Astyanax mexicanus: one gene and its partner. The protein of the gene in region 2 interacts with the protein of the main gene of each other region in a biochemical or structural test. Links are inferred from orthologs where the notes say so. Each region holds a gene or a part of one and is shown on either strand. Other genes may lie near its edges.

The links.
Region 1: the proteins of pstpip1a (region 2) and ptpn18 form a complex in vitro, tested with the Homo sapiens proteins (2 studies listed by BioGRID and IntAct). The link is inferred for Astyanax mexicanus from reciprocal best matches to the Homo sapiens genes PSTPIP1 and PTPN18.

Annotation. Positions count from the first base shown.
Region 1 is NC_064419.1:3,030,805-3,040,524, reverse strand, and holds the start of ptpn18 (tyrosine-protein phosphatase non-receptor type 18), read right to left. Parts: upstream 3,683-9,720; 5' UTR 3,501-3,682; coding exon 3,408-3,500; intron 1-3,407. Other genes in the region: mon1ba (vacuolar fusion protein MON1 homolog B), read left to right, coding at 6,015-6,372, 8,432-9,224. UniProt on the Homo sapiens protein: Differentially dephosphorylate autophosphorylated tyrosine kinases which are known to be overexpressed in tumor tissues.
Region 2 is NW_026040047.1:1,865,446-1,874,728, forward strand, and holds the start of pstpip1a (proline-serine-threonine phosphatase-interacting protein 1a), read left to right. Parts: upstream 1-5,759; 5' UTR 5,760-6,224; coding exon 6,225-6,257; intron 6,258-7,565; coding exon 7,566-7,666; intron 7,667-7,761; coding exon 7,762-7,836; intron 7,837-7,992; coding exon 7,993-8,027; intron 8,028-8,121; coding exon 8,122-8,228; intron 8,229-8,344; coding exon 8,345-8,407; intron 8,408-9,283. UniProt on the Homo sapiens protein: Involved in regulation of the actin cytoskeleton. May regulate WAS actin-bundling activity. Bridges the interaction between ABL1 and PTPN18 leading to ABL1 dephosphorylation.

The DNA of each region.
Region 1 (9,720 bases), on a different chromosome or scaffold from region 2:
CCACCCCTTACTCACACCTTTCAGCACAGAGCCAATCAGCTTGCTGTTAATGCTGCAAGAGGGCAGACAGACAGACAGACAGACAGACAGACAGACAGACAGACAGACAGACAGACAGACAGACAGACAGATAGATAGATAGATAGATAGATAGATAGGCAGACAGACAGACAGATAGACAGACAGATAGACAGACAGATAGATGGGCATATAGTCCAAAAAGTCAAGAAAGTCCAAACAACTGACGACAATTTTGTCTGTATAGGAAAAATACATAAATAAATACAACAGTAATGGTAACAAATACAACATTTGCATTTTTAGACAAATTATTTTCATATTTGGACAGCTGTCAGAAAGCTTTAAAGGAAGTCATTCAGGCCAATGAATGGATAACCCTCTCACTCTGATCTGTGTGTGCATGCAAATGTCCCTCTCACGTGAAAAAAGAAGGCCTTTTTTTTTGGCATGACTCAGTGTTAACATATTCAAATGTTCTGAGGTGATGGTTTACTCAGTGCAACACTAAGCAGCACTGCCTTCATTCTCTTCATACAGAGTTTAATACAGTAATGTCTGTCTCAGAGCATCACCCTGAGTTAATAATCGACTGATTCTTTTATGGGCTCAATAAGGAACCAGGACATGAAGCTGTACCCTCATTTACCCCCAGTCAACGCACCGGAGAAGATCTGAAAAAGACTGTAAAAGTCACAGCTAATGTTTTTTTTTTCACTAGACTAAGAGTTTTTTTCACGTCGCAGTTTCCTACTTTTGAACTTTAGTTCAGATAAAGACGTACAGTTAGGTTATAAACCTTAGAAAGCATTCTGCTTTAACTTCAACTTCTGCTTAACTGTTTGGTGGAGCACATTTGAGACTCGGCTAGGGTAGGGCTGCACGATATTGGGAAAGTTAAATCTTAACAGTGCGACGTTTTTGCACGTCTCAGCAGAGACAGATACTGACCTGGGAAAATACGCCAGCAGCTCATTTAAGGGAACAGCAATGTTATTTTATTCTTTATACTGTTTATTGTTAAACAGGGGTCCGGTTTGTGCTCTGCAGTGTGTCCGTGTATGTGTGTGTTCGTGTCAGTGTTTTAATCAGTCAGTGGCGCACCTGTGTTTTCTTCCACTAAAATATACAGAATATTGTGGCCGATTATCCATCCATCCATCCATCCATCCATCCATCCATCCATCCATTTTAAATACTAATGGAGCATCTTACTTCCTCCAGTATCTCCCAGCACTGAACCTTGAGTTTTATTTCTATAGATGATTTTGGTTTTAAATACAATGTCAACAAAGCCGAACAAAATGAAATTGAATCCAGACCAAGAATGGGAACCAAAAAGTGTTACCTGAGTACACAGCACATACAGCAGCTTCCTCACACACAACTTACAGTGTAAGTGCAAGGGGTTTCAAGTTATATCAATCATTGTAAATCAGTGTGAAATAGACTGCACAACAGACTGCACAAAAATTATATTATTGTAAATTTATGAGCATTTAATGCTATATTTAATGTGGACATGAAACACTTCAAGTATTTAATATAATTCACAAGATGTATTTTCACTCTAACAAATAGTATAAGTTTAACAGTTGTCAATGAAGCTGAATTAAAATAAAAAGCAATCTAAATCTCATTTTTTAAGTAAGTGTAGTGCCCTCTTGTCCCAGCGCTGAAAGTGACGTCACGAGGTTGGTTCTCGGACGCCTCACTAACATAAACTATTAGCCTTCGGGAACTTAGCTCACTTCTGTTGTAGTAAAATGTTATAGGTTAAAGAGTGAGAAAGAGATTCACTTTCACTTTCATATCTCGTCTCTTAAGCGGACAGCTGTTTTTCGGCGGTGGCTAACGGCGCCTAGCGGTCCTGAAGCGCAAGAATCCTCCGGTTAGCAGCAATGCTAGGGGTTAGTAGCGACTCCGAGCACTTTCTAGACGAGGACTGTTATGTGGAGGAAAGGGTTTTGAGTCAGAAGTTTGTCATTCGCCAGACAAATAAGCTAAAGTCCGAGGCTTTTTACCTCCATTTTTAATTTTTTTTCCTCTGAACAGCTGGGATGTACAGACCACCTGACTGAGGGTAACCTTACTATAAAGTAGCAGCTGTGAGCCGCAAGAAACGAGCCAAACGACGCGCTCACCCAGCAGAGCAGCGAGAGGTAACTAACGTTAGCTAACTAGCTAACGCTAACTATGCTCCACGTTAGCCTAGTTCAGCTTTGTCTTCATTCATAATCTCCACAAACAACAAGCTCTTTTCCCTAACCCTGACCGCTAGCTACTGTATGTACCTGGACTCTTCAACCAACCAACCAACCAACCAACCTCGTGACGTCACCAGTGCTGCACGGGCAAGATGGCGGAGCCCTAGCGCAAACATAACAAACATAAATATAGTATGATTTAATTTAGTGTGTAAACATTTTATAAAAAAAAAATTACATTCAATAAAATAAATTCCATTTTATTCAATCCCTTAGAAAACTTGTACAAACTGAAATGTTTCATGTCCACTTTACAATAATACTATAAGAGCATAATCATGCAACTGCACAATTTAAGAGTAATAAAAATTTATTAAAACTATTTAAATAGCCTAAATGAATACATGATGCAAATGCAGCAAATAACAATATTAGCTACATTAAAAATGCTTTTTTTCCCCTTCAGTTACAAAAAAAGTAACTAAAACGGTGTAACAGCCCATTTTCCAACTATATATAACAAAAAGACATAATGAAGTAGTGTATAATGAAATTTCTCAATGACGTAACTAAGTATAATCTTTATATAGGTAGATATATTAATATTAATTTAATCCTATGCAGTTCAAATGAACGCATAGTGCTTATGTGTTCAGTAGGTTTCCAGTGTATATATGTTTTTTTTCATTTAAAAATAATGATGAACAAAATGTTTGTGTACATTTTATACACTTTAAAAACAGGATTTTAGGAAAATTGATTTTTTTCATCTTTTTTACAAAAGTATATTGGATTTCACTATCATTTTTTTTACAATATGCAAAAATGAAATTAAATCTGACATTTTTATATAAAATCCTGTTTGAGAAAGGCAGAAGAAAACACTAAAAATTGCTAAATATATGGATGTACAACTTTTTCCTCAACAATTTAAATATTTAAATACCTAAAAATAAGTATTGAACTTTTGCACTCAACTTTTAATTTTAATTTTAATTAAATGTAGCCTCAAACTGATCAATATATATTTGCTATCTGGGAATGAAACATAATAAATGTATGTTTAGTGAAATCTCTCAATAACTTCTCAGTATAATCTCTATATTAGTAGCTAGTTTATTATATGAATTTAATCCCAGTTTCCAGCTGCAGGTTTAGCGGGTGTACTCAGGTGGTACTCACGGTGTACTCAGCAGTGATCTCATTGTCCCCATCGCAGCCGCTCTCAGACAGGAACCTGACCCGCTGGATGAACTTCAGCAGGTGATCTTCCATCGCTCCGCAGGTCGATATTCCGCTTTAAATCCTCTTCATCGGGTTAAACCCGAGTCCAGAGCCGTGCTGAGCGGACCCGGGTCCGGGTCATGATCTCCAGCTCAGACCGAAGCACCTGATCCACCGCGAGCAGAACTGATCCCTCTCTCACGCTCTCATTAAACCCGGTCTGCGCTCCAACACGCGCACTTCTGCACTAACTAGTGCACTACAGCTGCGCGAATCAGCGCGAGTCAAGGTTGCCAGGTCCATCAAAAATATACATTTTGCGTAAATGCTCTCCAGAATGAGAAGACAGCACGAAACAAAACATTTTACCATAAATCTTTCGATTTTCTGATTTTTAGAACAAATAGTTTTTTTTATCAATTAAAATAGTGATTAAATTTTTTTATCCATCTTTCATGGTTATTTTTTTATTTTTTTAATATATAAAATGAAATTTTTTTGCATATTGATTTGTTACGATGGCATAATCCAATTTACTTTTTAAGAAGAATGAAAAGACAATATATATATATATATATATATATATATATATATATATATATATTACCATACACCACTCAACTTTCTTATGTTCAGAACGAATAGTTTATTTTATCATTTAAAAAAATGTTGCCTTTTGTAAACAGAATTTCAGGAAAATTTTATTTCATTAATATATATTAATTTTCAGATTTTTTTCATTTTTGCATATTGTATTTTGCATATTGATTTGCTATGATTGTAAAATCCAATTTGCTTTTTTAACAAGATGCAATAATGAAGAAATATGAAAATTAAGAGAGGATTAATTTAAGCAGAGTTTTTTTTTTTTTTTTTTTTTTTAGAGATTTTTATGGGATTCAGCATGCCCAGGTTGCCAGGTTCAGCAAAAATGAACAAAACATTTATTTTTCCCAAAAACCTTTTTATTTTTAATGTAACATATGCCTGATGGTATAGTCTAATTTTTTTTTTTTTAACAAAATGCAAAAAATTGAAAATCAAGAAAAGTTTAATTTTTCCCTGAGATTCTGTTTGCAAAAGTAAATAAATTTAAAAAATGATACCAAAACTAGTTCTTCATCATTTTAAATTGGAAAGATATATATAATGGGATTTTACATCCAATATTTCGTATTTTGCATTCAAGGATTTAGAAAATAATATGTATAGCAATGATAAATGTTATTTATCATCTTATCTATGTCTTATATCAGTTTTTATTATGCATGTATTAAACCGGACCATTCTTTAGGCTCTCAGCTATTGGGGTTTAGGTGGGGTATAAAGCCCCCCAGTATTGAGCTGGGAATATTAGGGAGGGACTTTTATTGTGAACAGTCAAGAAGTTCTTCATTCACTGCTGTTCTGAGCACATTCTTTCTACTCACAATAAACACACTGTGGACGAGTCTCCTGACTGCCTGCACCATATCATCATCATCAGCATGAGTACAATTTTTTTTAGATTATCTTTCTTGCTTTCTGAGCTATTATGATTATTTAATAACCTGTAATAACTTTAAAAGTAAAGTTACTACAAATTAAATATTATACCTAAGCATTATAACTGTTAATGTGTCTATTGGAAACATTTTTACTGTTATTGCTGTCCCAGGTGGTTGCTAGGGTGTTGCTGTATGCATGCTCTTTTGTAGCTAAACTAATTCTCAGTGGTTGCTTTGTCGGTTGCTATAGTATTTCAGGTGGTTACTGAGGTTGCAGTGTTGCAGAATGGCTGCTAAGGTGGTAACTAATATGTTTTAACAATATGTCAGGTGGTTGATAAGGTGTTGCAGAATGGGGGATCAGGTGGTTGCTAATATGCTGTGTTATTATGTCAGGTGGTTCCTAATGCATTGCTGAATGGGTGTTCTGGTGCCGCTAGGTTTTAGTTAGTGGTTTTCAGGGTGGTTGCAACAGTGTTCCAGGTGGTTGATAAGGGGCTACTGTAGTATGTCAGTAATGCATTGTTGAATGGGTGTTCTGTTGCCGCTAGGGTCTTAAATAGCAGTTTTTAGGGTGGTTGCTTAGGTGTCTATGGTGTTTTTTCCAGCGTCAGTTTATTCGGTGTCATAAAAAAGAACAATATTGTATAACATCATATCTAAATATAGTGTATATTTGTCCTGATTTAACACTAAAGTTTCTGACAGTAAAATATATATAAACATAATAAAAGTATAATAATAACATCATGGGAGAAACTTGATTATAATATACTGTATTAAGATAACCCAGATAAAAAGGGCTAGTTTCTAAACTTCAAAAGAGCCTTTGATGAAACCTTGATGATGACATACCACTATAGATCTTATTATCTCCAGCAGCACTCTGAGCACTGTGGACGTTATTCACGGTCTATAAAACACATCTGACCCCTCCTGGAATCCCTGATTAACCTGTAGCGCTCCTCACAGGGATCCATTGTCCGTCACCAATGGAAGAAGTGTTCCTTAGGAAGAGGGACATCATTTCCACAGTAGAAAAAAGCAGAAGTTTGGAGGGAAGTGAGAATCGGACAGCATGTTGAAGAGAGACAGTGCGGGAACTGATGGGGGTCTACCTGAAAACACCTCTCTGGAGGAATCTAGTGATTTTACAGTGCTTTTATCTGGAACGGAACTGAAGCAGAGCGAGAGTTCCTCAAGTCTCGGGAGCGACTGCTCCTCAGCTTCCCAAATCCAGACCAGTCAGAATGAGGAGGTGATGACGGACGGCTGGAGGAGCCGCAGGAAGCATGTGTTTGTGCTGAGCGAAGCAGGGAAGCCCATCTACTCTCGCCATGGCAGCGAGGAGGCCCTGTCTTCAGTGATGGGGGTCATGATGGCGCTGGTGTCTTTTGTCCAGGTTGGAGGAAACACCATTCAGTCCATTTACTCAGGTGAGATGTTATTAAAGGGGTTATTAACTTTTTATGTTTTATATATACCACAAATCATAAAAAAGTTTGAGGATGCATGGAAAATACAAAAAAAAATGTATGTACTAGTACTGTGTATTATTGGCGATACAATTTAATATATTACGATATTTTGCACCTTTTTTAAGGTGTCCTTCAGCTAAAATCCACTCTAAAATCCACTTTTTCTGGTTCTTTGTGAAATACATTAGGTCTCTCTGAGTTGTATATGATGCTGCACATGAAAAGAAAATACTCTGAAAATATGTTAATTAGTATTCATGGCCACACCCACCTTGGCTCGGGACCGCCCACAGACAGAGCTGAAGCCAGGCAGAGGCACTGCCTCGTCAGATAGGAGCTAACAGCGCTAAGAACAGCAGTTCGGCAGTTTGTTGCTGGGTTATTTGTGCGAATAACACATCAGTGTTTATATGCTTTACCCAGTAATGCAGAGCTAAGGAACAAATGGTTAGAATTTGTCTATGGAGGAAAAAACACCACCAGCCAAGTACAATTGAAATAGGTAGGTGTGTATGTTTAGAATAACAAAACCCGCCAGCCACTCCGCTAATGTAGCATCGTAGCTAAGGCACATACAATGCTTTTCCACCAATGCAAAACCAAAAGACACTGGAGAATACAATATTGAATAAAAGAAGAAGCTGGTATTATGAACTGTAGACCACTGGTGGTCATTCAAAGCAATAATGTGGCACATTTACACAATATGTTCCTATTACCCTATGAGCTATGAGGCTAATGTAGATATAGAGTGATGCAAGCCTTGTGTAGAAACCACATAAACAAATCTCATTAAGATGATTACTCAAGTCACCCTAATGTTTAACTAAAGGCACACAATTGAACACCACATCTGGCCTTGTGGTGAGTGATTTAAACCCGCCTTATCTGGAGTGACATTGTATACAACGTGTCAACACCTAGTAGTGATACACGAGAATAGGATATCAGTAGGATAATGTTCACCCACACACAGCTACATTTTCCCAGGAAGGTCTCTGTCAAATTGCTTCATTTCCCTATCCTACAATATCTCCAGATTTATATGAACAAATATTGGACACCTACTTATTCACTGTTTCTTCTAAATTCATAGGTATTAAAAAGAGTTTGTTAGAATCTTGTTCTTTACTGTAAGCTTAGATTTCCAATAGTTTCCCCAGCACTAAGGCTGGGTGCAGCAGCATTAGCATTAGCATTAGCCGCTAACCACAGTGCTAGCGGGACATGAATGCCACCCGACCGTGCTAAGCTGAGGAACCCTAAGTGTTCAGGTAACCCAGGGTGCTATCAACTAGTGGTTTGTCCCACGTAGCTTGTTTTAACATGGTAAACATGCAGACTACAGTCCAATATACTCACCTCTGGACGGTGAAAGATCTAGCACTGCTGCGGTTAGCGGCTAATGCTAATGCAGGGTGCTCTCAGCCTTAGTGCTGGAGAAACTTCACTGAAAATTTACCCAAGTAACGCTGTACTTCAGTAGAGTGGCTTTACTGCGCCTTAATTAAAACCTGACTGGTAGAATTTATAAATAAGGCACATTGATGATTTTGGAGAAAATGTAAAGACTTAAAGGACTTTAAGGTGCGTGTTATAGTCTGAAAAATATGGGACTTAACTATGAATGTTATCAGGCAAAATTCAGAAAAAAATGATCCTAAATTTTCCTCAAGTGCAGTCCTAAAGACAGTCATCAAATACTTTGTGATGAAACTGGCTCTCATCAGGACCGCTCCAAGAAAGGAAGACCAAAAGTTACCTCTGTTGCACAGAATAAGTTCATTTATAAGTTCAAGAGTTACCAGCCAAGGAAAAGAAAAACAATAAAAAACTCGTCTTGTACTGACAACAATGTCATATTGTGATGGTAAAAACTGTTCATAAATATAAAATATATTTAAATATTCAAATTATTATTTCTAAATACATTATTTAATGCTCATAAATTGATTATAAAGCCTCTATTCAGGCACCTGAATAAAGTGTTACTAGATTTTGTATCACTCTCTTTCAGATGGGCACACGATTGTCTTTATGCAGAAAGGACCTCTGGTTCTGGTTTCCGCATCAAAGAGTCGACAGTCTGAGCTGCAGCTTCGCTCTGAGCTCCTGCATGTTTACCATCAGATCGTCAGCATGCTCACCCAGGCCAGCATCAATCGCATTTTCCAGCGCAGGAAGAACTACGACCTCCGCCGGCTGCTGTTCGGCTCGGAGAAGGTTATAGATGGTCTCCTGGATGTAATGGAGTCTGAGGCTGGTTTCCTGCTCTCGGCTGTGCAGTGCCTGCCTTTGGCTTCGTCTTCCAGAGACGTTCTCAACCAGGTCCTGCAGAAAGCAGTCACTCCTAATCTTGTCCTGTCTCTCCTGGTCACTAAGGGTCAGCTCCTCTCCATTGTCCAGGAGAAAATGGTCATAGAAGACGCCAGGCTGAAGCCGAGTGATCTGCACCTGCTTCTGAACCTCATTCGAGCTTCCACGTCCTTCCAGACGGGTGAAATTTGGACCCCGGTCTGCCTTCCTCGTTTTAATCCAGACTGCTACTTCTACACTTACGTCGCCTACCTGGACCCTCCAGAGTGTAGCGTCTGCCTCGTGCTTCTGTCCACCGATAAGGAGGCTTTCTACGCCGTGGCGGAGTGCAAGCGGAAGATCGAAGAGGGGGTTAGAAACAACAATGTTCTGCAGTCTATCTCCAAAGCTCAACCATGTCAGGTTCGCCATGTTGGCGTGGCTGAGCTGAGACACTTCCTGTACATGCCCTTTGACGTTCCAGATCACTATGGCCAGCTGCCGCAATTCACCAGGTGAACAAGTGAGATATATGTGAGTTTCGGTCTATAAGTGACGCTGAGATGTTTAAAAACTCCAGCAGCACTGCTGTGGCTGATCCACTTGTACCAGCACATTAGAAAGAAGGATAATAATAAAGAATGTAGAGAAACAGATACAGGACTACAGTCTGTAATCAAAAATCATTCACCTTAACTGAGGCAGGTGAGACCTGCAGTTCTTTACCCTCCTGGACCTCCTGGATGAGTTATCCCTGCCCTTTTGGAGTCATTTCAGTAGGCCGGTCACTGCTAGGAAGGTCCTAGTCCTAGTCCTAGTCTAGATTAACAATTAGACTTTAATATCACACAGAGATTACCTGAGAAAAAGACCATTGTACTGAAAGTCAAACATGGTGGTGGTAATATGAAAGTCTGGGACCTGGACAACTTACATTAATTTATGCAACCATAAATTCTGCTCTGTATTAGAGCTGCAACTAATGATTATTTTGATAGTTGACTAATATGA
Region 2 (9,283 bases):
CGACTCAGACAATATGCAATCACGCTGAAGCCAAGCAAATGTGAGCTCTTCAAACAAGAGGTCCGTTATTTAGGACGTATTGTGTCAGCTGAGGGCAGCAAAATAGATCCAGTTGATACCATCGCAGTAAGAGCTCTAAAGGAGAAAAAGCCTCAAACAGTGGGAGAACTGCGAGCAATAATGGGCTTGTTAGGGTATTACCGACAGTATATCAAGGACTTTTCTCGCATTGCTGGGCCTCTCTACAGTCTTCTGAAAGTCACCCCTGAGGTCAAGAGAGAAGGGAAACATTGTTGCAAAACCAAAAGGCAAGAAGGGAAAAGAAAAGCAGCACACTCTCATCAGTCTATCATCTGGACAGCTGCACACCAAGAGGTACTGGAGAAACTGACTGATTGTCTAACTCAGCCACCTGTTCTCGGATTTGCAGACTTCAGTAAATCGTTCATCCTCCACACTGATGCTTCCAATCAGGGCCTGGGTGCCGTATTGTACCAGGAACAGGAAAGGAAACTCCGTATGATCGCGTATGCTTCGCGGACACTCACAGAACCAGAGAAAACTACCATCTTCATTCAGGGAAGCTAGAATTCCTGGCTCAAATGCTCGCCCTACTGGTCACCAGTTGGGAAAGCTGGGTATAAAAAGCAAATGGCTGCTCCGTGAATGGGATCGATTGATCTTTGATGAAAATGGCCTTTTATACCGAAAGACAGCCACAAGAAAACAGTTGATCTTACCAGAGAAATACAAAGAGATGGTCCTGAGAGAATTGCATGATGAAATGGGTCATCAGGGAGTGGACCGGACAGTGTCATTAATCAGAGATAGGTTCTTCTGGCCTAACCTGCAGAAGGATGTTGAGCACTATGTTTCCTATTCTTGTGTGTGTTTGAAGCAGAAGAAACCAAGTCGAGAAACTAGAGCTCCTCTCACAAACATTGTTACGTCACAGCCTTTTGAACTGGTCTCAATAGATTTTCTTCATGTAGACAGAAGCTCAGGTGGATACGAGTATATCCTGGTAGTAATTGACCATTTCACACGTTTTGTTCAGGCATATGCTACGACATCAAAATCTGCTAAAACTGTAGCTGACAAGATATTCGGTGACTATGCATTGAAGTTCGGATTTCCCATGAGGATACATCATGGCCAGGGAGGTGAATTCGAAAACCAACTTTTCGCACAGTTGAAGAAAAACTGTGGTGTTATTGGCTCTAGAAGTACACCGTACCACCCCCAAGGGAATGGTCAGGTGGAGCATTTTAATAGAACTCTCCTCCAGATGTTGAAAACACTGACTGAGAGAGAAAAATCCAATTGGAAGGATTCGCTAAACAAGCTCATTTATGCTTACAACTGCACTCGCAGCAAAGTCACTGGGTTTTCTCCCTTTTATCTTCTTTATGGACGGCCTCCGAGACTGCCAGTTGATCTTTTGTTCCGCCTAACTCCAGAGAGTGGAACAGGTGATCATCAGGAATATGTAAAGCAATGGAAATCTGGAATGCAGGAGGCATATGAGATTTCAAGAGAGAACGCCAAGAAGTCTGCCGAAAGAGGAAACCGGAATTACAATAAGAAAGTCAGGAGTTCTGTGTTGCAAGAAGGCGATCGTGTTCTTGTGAGAAACATGACACCCCGAGGTGGGACAGGCAAACTTCGAAATCATTGGGAGGAACAAATTCACAAAGTTGTATGGCAAGTAAATAAAGATATTCCCATCTATGAAGTTGTTCCGGAGCTAGGAAGAGGAAGCAGAATCCTACACCGGATTACTTACCACTAGAGGTCCAACTCAAGACGGCAAACTCAAAAAAACAAAGAAGAGAACGAAAAAAAACCCAGAAAGAGAAGAGAACATTCAAGCAGGGACTGACAGTGATGAGGATGACTATGAATACCACTGCATAACTGTGCCACAGCCTCAATACAGTTGCAACACTGGACGTGATATTCAGACAAAAGCTCAAGAGCCAGCTGTACAAACTGAGAATCAAGTTCTTGGATTGGAAAATGTGCCCCAGCAAAGTGAGGCCCACGATAGGAACTGTGCTCTGGATCAGGACATTCAGCCAGAGATGTCTGCTCAAGGGAGACAAACAGTTGAACAGGATAATTTCTTTGAGAGAAGCGAATCACTCCCTCCGTGTACTGCTGCTGACAGCATTGATGATGAAACGAAGGCAAAGTACAAGTATCAACGACCCAACAGAGAGAAGCGAGCACCAAAGTTATTCACCTATGACCAGCTTGGTACCCCAGTATGCTATCTAGCTTCTCTTTCAGAAAGTGACACTCACAGGCATTTTCCTTGGCCTTGGGATGTGGAACATACAAGACAAACATGGATGGACCCTACACAATTTTACTTTCCCCCTGGGCATTACTGTTCAATGCATTTGCATAGGAACTGAGTAAAAGACATCCTGGGAATGTTGATGGACTGTTCACCTCTGTTCTTTCACGCATACAAATATGTTCACAACATTCATAGACTGTGAACAGAGTTGTTTACATATACCTACTAGGGATGGACAACACCTGAAAGAACTTTCACACTTATACATTTGAAACATACCATGAACTGTGATAAAACAGATTGGTCATGTACACATACGATGGACACAAACTAAAAAGAAACTGAACTGACACATACACCCCTGCTCACAACACTTATGGACTGTGGATAAGCAGAGTACCTGATGAATATGGACATGAACTAAAAGGACTTCCACACACACACACACACACCTATGCTCACAACACTCATGGACTGTGGATAGACAGAGCAGTTGAGTACACTTACCCAATGGACATGAACATAAGATAAACAGACTTTCCCTCTCACATGCGCACATATGCTTGCAACACGCATGGACTGTGAAAAAGCAGAGCACACAAATTTGCAGAATGGAAAAAAAAAGGAAAAAGAAGACACTGTTCATGTTAGTGGACACTGATAAATAGAAATACATTTCCTTTCTGCAGTAGAGACTTACCTAAAAGAACAGAAAGGAGTTTGACTGTTGGCTATATACAAAAAAATGGTTGAAAAAAAATGTAATGTGCAAACACATTCTTTGTGATGTCGGGACGACATCTATATTGGTGGGGAGTGTGTGATATACTGAAAAAAGGGAGATAAAAAATATCTATATAAATATATATATGTAAAAAAGAAAAGAAAATATATAGAGAAAAAGGAAAATAGTTCTGTGTTGTTTTGATATTATTACTAGTCACTGTATTTCAAGTTATTGGGTTATTACTGTGTACACCAGTTGGTTGAGCCTGTGCTAGGGGCGTGTCTAGTTTGGACTGAGTGAGGGGAACAGAGAGCACATGCTGAGATTGCATCATACTAAAGTTATGCTGCTTTGAACACTCATCAGTGTGTCCTGTGTTCATTAAATTTGGTATTTTCCACTATCCCCTCTCTCAGGGGCGTAACAAACACTCCCGTCCTATACAAAAAAAAGCACACAACTTATATTTAACATAAATTTTAAATCCAACATAAATAAGAGTACACACATATAAGAATTAGGCCTTTATGTGCCAAATATCTACAACTGCTGTTTGTGAACTTTCACTTCAGCAAAGGCAACCACAATTTCTTACAGATTAATATAGCAGATTTAAGAATTCTGTTGTCTGAGAATTAGAGAAACGCACGCATGCTTTGGCTTTGTGCATGGATGCAACTAGACACGTACCCCTCTTTTAGGGTGTTTTCACACCAGATCAGTTAATGAGTTTGTTTACTGATCTGAACTAAACCATCCTTTACCCTTTATAAACCTAACAGAAGGAGTTTAAATATCATCAGATAATGAGGGTCATGGAAGTAAATAAATGTAGCAATATATTTATCAATAAATATATAAATAAATGCAGAAACAGCCCTAAATAAAGGTTTATGCATGGAAATATTTTAAGTGTGTACTTTTAATGTATTTATCTATACAATTATGTATTTATATATTTATTTATTCATTTATACTTCCATTTATTTATTTATGCTTATGTCACTTTTCTGCCTCCATATTTTGGGACTTTTTCAGTCCCATCATGTTTTTTATGCATATGCATGCCTGGCTGGATAAAAAATGCAGAAACGAGTATTTTTCTGCCTGCGGAGGATGTTTTTAACATTGTTAAATGCTGAACTGGCGCAGGCTACACTGGGTGGGCAATCGGGGAATGAAAATGTCATTATACTACAGAGACCTGGCCTTCCTGCTCAGAAGAGTGTCCACACAGTCCTGATAATAGTGAAGTTTGGCCACAATAGCACAAGGCTTGCCCCCCCTGCTGCCTCGGTTGCAGACGGTGGTAAAACTCGATCCAGACATCTCCTCCACATTCAGAGTTAGAATATTCGTGCTCCTCATTCGTCCCTTCAGGTCGACTCGTTTCTCCCGCAGAGCAGCTACATGTTTGCTAAGCCTGTGCACGGTTGTTTGCAGAGTAGTGATATCATCTGAGCATGTGGAGCGGCCATGCTCCATTTCAGTTTTTGTTTCACACTATCCATGTCCGTACGTAGCACAGCCACACTGCTACCCTTAAAAAAAGTTTCAGTGACATACTAAACATAATTATACATCAGCAATAATACATGAGATGGAGTGCTATAATGTGTAATATTGGCACTACTGTGCTGCAGTCGTAGGCATGCGGCCGTAGGCCAAAAGCTCGATTTTTGTCCCATCTGACCACAGAACCTTCTCCCAATCACTCTCAGAATCCTCCAGGTATTTATTGGCTAACTAAAGACGGTTCTGCACATGTTCCTTCTTCGACAGGAGGACCTTGCAGCACTGCAGAACTTTAATCCATTACAGCATAATGTCTTACCAAAAGGTTTTCTTGGTGACTGGGGTCCCAGCTGCCTTGAGATCATTAAGAACTTCCCCTTGTGTAGTTTTAGGCTGATCTTTCACCTTCCTCATGATCAAGTATACTCCACGAGGTGAGAGTTTGCATGGAACCCCAGATTGATGTTGATTGATAGTCATTTTGTATTTCTTTCATTTTCTTACAACTAATTCACACTTTTAATGTGACAACGTGCTTAGCGGTACGCCATCCGCGCACAGGAAGAAGGAGTAGGCGGCGGAGGTTTTAGTTGAGAAGAGAGTGTTTTAAAGCAGCGAGGGAAAAGAGCGACAACTTACGAGGCAAAAACGACTATAATAATGGAGCATTTAGGCTGAACAGCGTGTATTCGCTCTTGTCTCCCACAACAACACACTTTAATGCTGCACCGACTCAGCCTGAGGAGTTTATAAATAAATACATGATACCGGCTCTGTGAGACGGACTGGCGACATCTCTGCTGTTCAGAAGCTAAGACACACAACATAATGCAAACGTTTATGCCTTTTTATTGATTATTCCCTATAGTTTTGATACTTACAAGAAATCCTTGTTGAAAAAAATTTAACTTAATTGTTTTAAAGTACTAATTATAAAAATAATTATTATTTCTTTATTTATTTCTATTTGTGTTTGCTGTTTGAAATGTATGCTGTGAAGTTAAAAATATAACTTTAAAAAAGGAAATCAATTGGTCATTTATTATTAAGTAAAATGTCTTGTTTTCTTGAGTATTTTTAATTACTCTTTAAGCAAACAAATATGTCTTATCCAATTTCTCAATAAATCAAATTGATTTTTCAGTACAGTACTTGATTACTAAAATAATCAATAGCTGCAGCCCTAGACTGAATTATTATTTCTCTCTGCAAAATGCAAATCAATTGATATAATTTATACAATTTGATATTTTTTTGGATTTTATTTTTGATATTCTATTTCTCACGGTTAAAATTAACCTTCCCTTAAAATTATAGACTGTTCATGTCTTTTACAGTTTGGAAACTTCAAATCAGCAAGAGATTCAATAATTATTTACTTCACTGTATAGTGTAACCTTCTGTTCAATTTAGCATCTTCTATTTCAGGAGGTTCATTATGTCCAGCGTTTGAACGGTGACTAAAACAGGCTGTTATCTACAGGGCGCCTGTGGTCAGTGACATAATGCAGAAGCTCTTCCTCATCCTAGTCGAACACAGGCAGCACAAGTGAACTGCTGTGAGGTCTTGGGTTTCCTGTGTGTACTGCTGTTGTTCCTTTTTTAACTGAAAATTTGACTTACTCACTGCATTTCGCTGGAGTTTGCGCTGGAGTAAACAGAGCTACAGAGGCTGAGATGACACCGTTACAGTTTAAAGATGCGTTCTGGGTAAGTAATCATGTGTTAAGATGTTTTAGAAGTTTGATGTTTCAGCTGAAGTCCATGTGTGGCAGGTGTATATCTGGATATGAATGTTCCTTTTTGAACTGTAACGTTCATCTTGTGTTTCTTGTACAGTTTTAAAGAAGGATGTTCCACGTTCTAGGCTGTAGAGTGTTGTCATAAACTGGCAGAATGGTAGTCTGAGAGTTGTCAAGTCAAGTCAAGTCAAGAGGCTTTTATTGTCATTACGTCTGAGTACAGGTACACAGTGTGATGAAATTACGTTCCTCCGGAACCATGGTGCAACATAGAACCACAAGCAATAGACAACATAAAGTGCAGGAGTGACGACAGTGCAACATAAAATTATAAAATTATAACACTAAATAACAATAAATACAATAAATACAAAAGACGAGACAATTTAAAGACAGGACAGTGCAGTACCTTCTACGTTGTGTGTAGAAGTATGGTAGAAGTATATACTCCCCTCTTTTATGTATGTATGTATGTATCTATATAATATATTCTACACAATCCACTCTTACTGTCCATTCTAAATAAAACACTAAAGCAGATATCTCGTAGTTTAATGGTCAGAGAATAGCGTTCCCTGCCAGGAGGTAATGGGTGTTTCTGTAGTTTTTAGAGCGTGGGGGGGATCGGTAATCAGGTCGGCATTGTCAGGGTAAACCACTTCCACTCTTTTTGCGGATTCTCTTCAAGAATTGTTCTCCCCTGGAACTGCATGACACATGTGGCTTTGATCTTCAGCGATATATGTATACATATATATAAAACAACAAATCTTCAAAGCAGCACGGAACGTTTCTGGGTTCATTTGCATCCTAGCTCTCGCCTCATAAACCTGTTTTACCTGATGCACTTCCAGAGGTCGAGCTGTTCCCATGATTAAAAAAGTACATTCTGGATCTGCTTCTGCTAAAGTTTTAGATTTATAGGACAGAAGTGTGGCTGTAAAGAGTCTAAACGAGATCATCCCGCATGTGTGGAACAGCTAGAATCTAGACGTGGCATTCTATTTGTGAGCTGAGCCACCAACGGTTTAATTCCAGAATTCAGGATGAGTAACATGACATGACGCACTGGTAGTAGTATGGAAAGATGATCTTGTGATGTGAATTAGCCTGAAATACACCACGTTGTTGCTGTGTTGGTTTAAACAAGCCTTTCCTGATTATAATTTCCTCTAAATGTGAACTTATTAATTAAAAATAATTTATGGTTATATGAGCTGAGAAAAACACTTTATCTGGATGGTGAAGAGATAACACTTCCTCCACTGGCACTTAGGGCCCAGACTTTGTTAGCAACGCCGGGTACGAGGCCCTCACCCAGAGGCTCTACGATGGCCGGCGGGCCTGCAAAGACATGGAGGAGCTCTTGAAGATGAGGTGATCTTTTAAATTGATTTACTTTCCATTTGAATAAGATTTGAAGCTCATTTAGACGTGATGATGTGATGAGAAGGGGCTTCTGCTCTTTGCAGGGCGATGGCAGAAGAGAAGTATGGCAAAGAGCTAGTGGCTATTGCACGAAAGGCTGGAGGCCAAAGTGAAATAGGGTAAGTGGTTAACTTTTAACTCCTCCGCACAGAGTGCTCCACTCCTGACAAGGTACTAATCCACACTACTGAGAATCAGGCTTAGGACATAAGCAGAAAGAATGTGGATGTGAGACACATCCATATTAGTAACACGTTCCTCATTTCTTCTTGCAGCACTTTAAAGGCTTCGTTTGACCAACTCAAAGCACGTAAGTGGCAGGGCGGCACGTCCCGCTGGTTTTATCAGTTATAATTTATGCACTTAAACTGGACCACAGACACTGATGTTTAATTTACAAACAGAAATCGAGAACATCGGAAACTTGCACATCCACCTCTCGGGGATGTTAAAAGAAGAAGTCAAGCGCATGGAGCAGTTCAGAGAACGTCAGAAAGAGCAGCGGAAAAAGGTGCGTCCGTGCAGAAAGACACAGTGGGTTTTATCCTGACCTTCATCCTCTATCTGTCTCACCAGCCCACACTGAGGCCTGGCAGGGCTCTGATTATGAACCTTTCTCTATTGCAGTTTGAGGGAATCATGGAGAAGGTTCATAAGACCAAAGTCTCTCAGTACAAGAAGACGATAGAGGTGAGTCTCAGACTTTCAGATAAATCACAAAAGCACGACCCGAGGGGCAGGGGCAGATACTACCCGCCTCACTTTTCACACTCAGAAAGATGTGCTGCTGAACCAGAAGATCAGTCAGGAAATTACACGTCTATAAGTGGCACTGAGAGAGTGAGAGAGCGAAAGAGCGAGAGAGCAGGAAGAGGAAGAAGCATTCAAAGTCAATTTAAATCGGTGTGCATTTCCGTGCCTGTGTGTGTGTGTGTGTGTGTGTGTGTGTGTGGTTTTTGTGTGTGTGGTGGGGTCAGTGCTCAAAAGTCCCACATCTATTCCTCATTAATATTTTTAAAACCCCACACACACACACACACACACATAAACCAACGCAAGTTTCCCTATTCCTCTCATAGATTGGTAATTTCCTCAAAATGCGGTGTGTTCTCACACACACTCTTGTACTAGTGTGTTCTGAAGATCAGGACAGTTTTAAGATCACAGAGTAACTGTTTAAAGTGAATCATCTTAAATCTAATCTAAACATATATTTCTGATTGAAATTATTTACTACTGAATTATTAATCGTGTCCCTTATTTAAGTTACTTAAGGTAAGAGACTCTGTGCTATTGCATTGACAAATAGTTAATAAACATATTTTAAAATGTTTTATCAGATTTTCTCCCCAGTTTATAAGGCCTATTACGCAACCCACACAATAGGTGACATGTGAAGTCAGACTCCACCTATTTTTGAACTGCTACTGATGCAGCATTGCTGAGTAGCATCATAGCACTAACGCTCGACACGGAAAGCACAGCGACTCGGTTCTGATACATCAGCTCACAGATGCAGTCTTGTGCTGATCCACATCACCCTTTGGAGTTGTATGGGAGGAGACA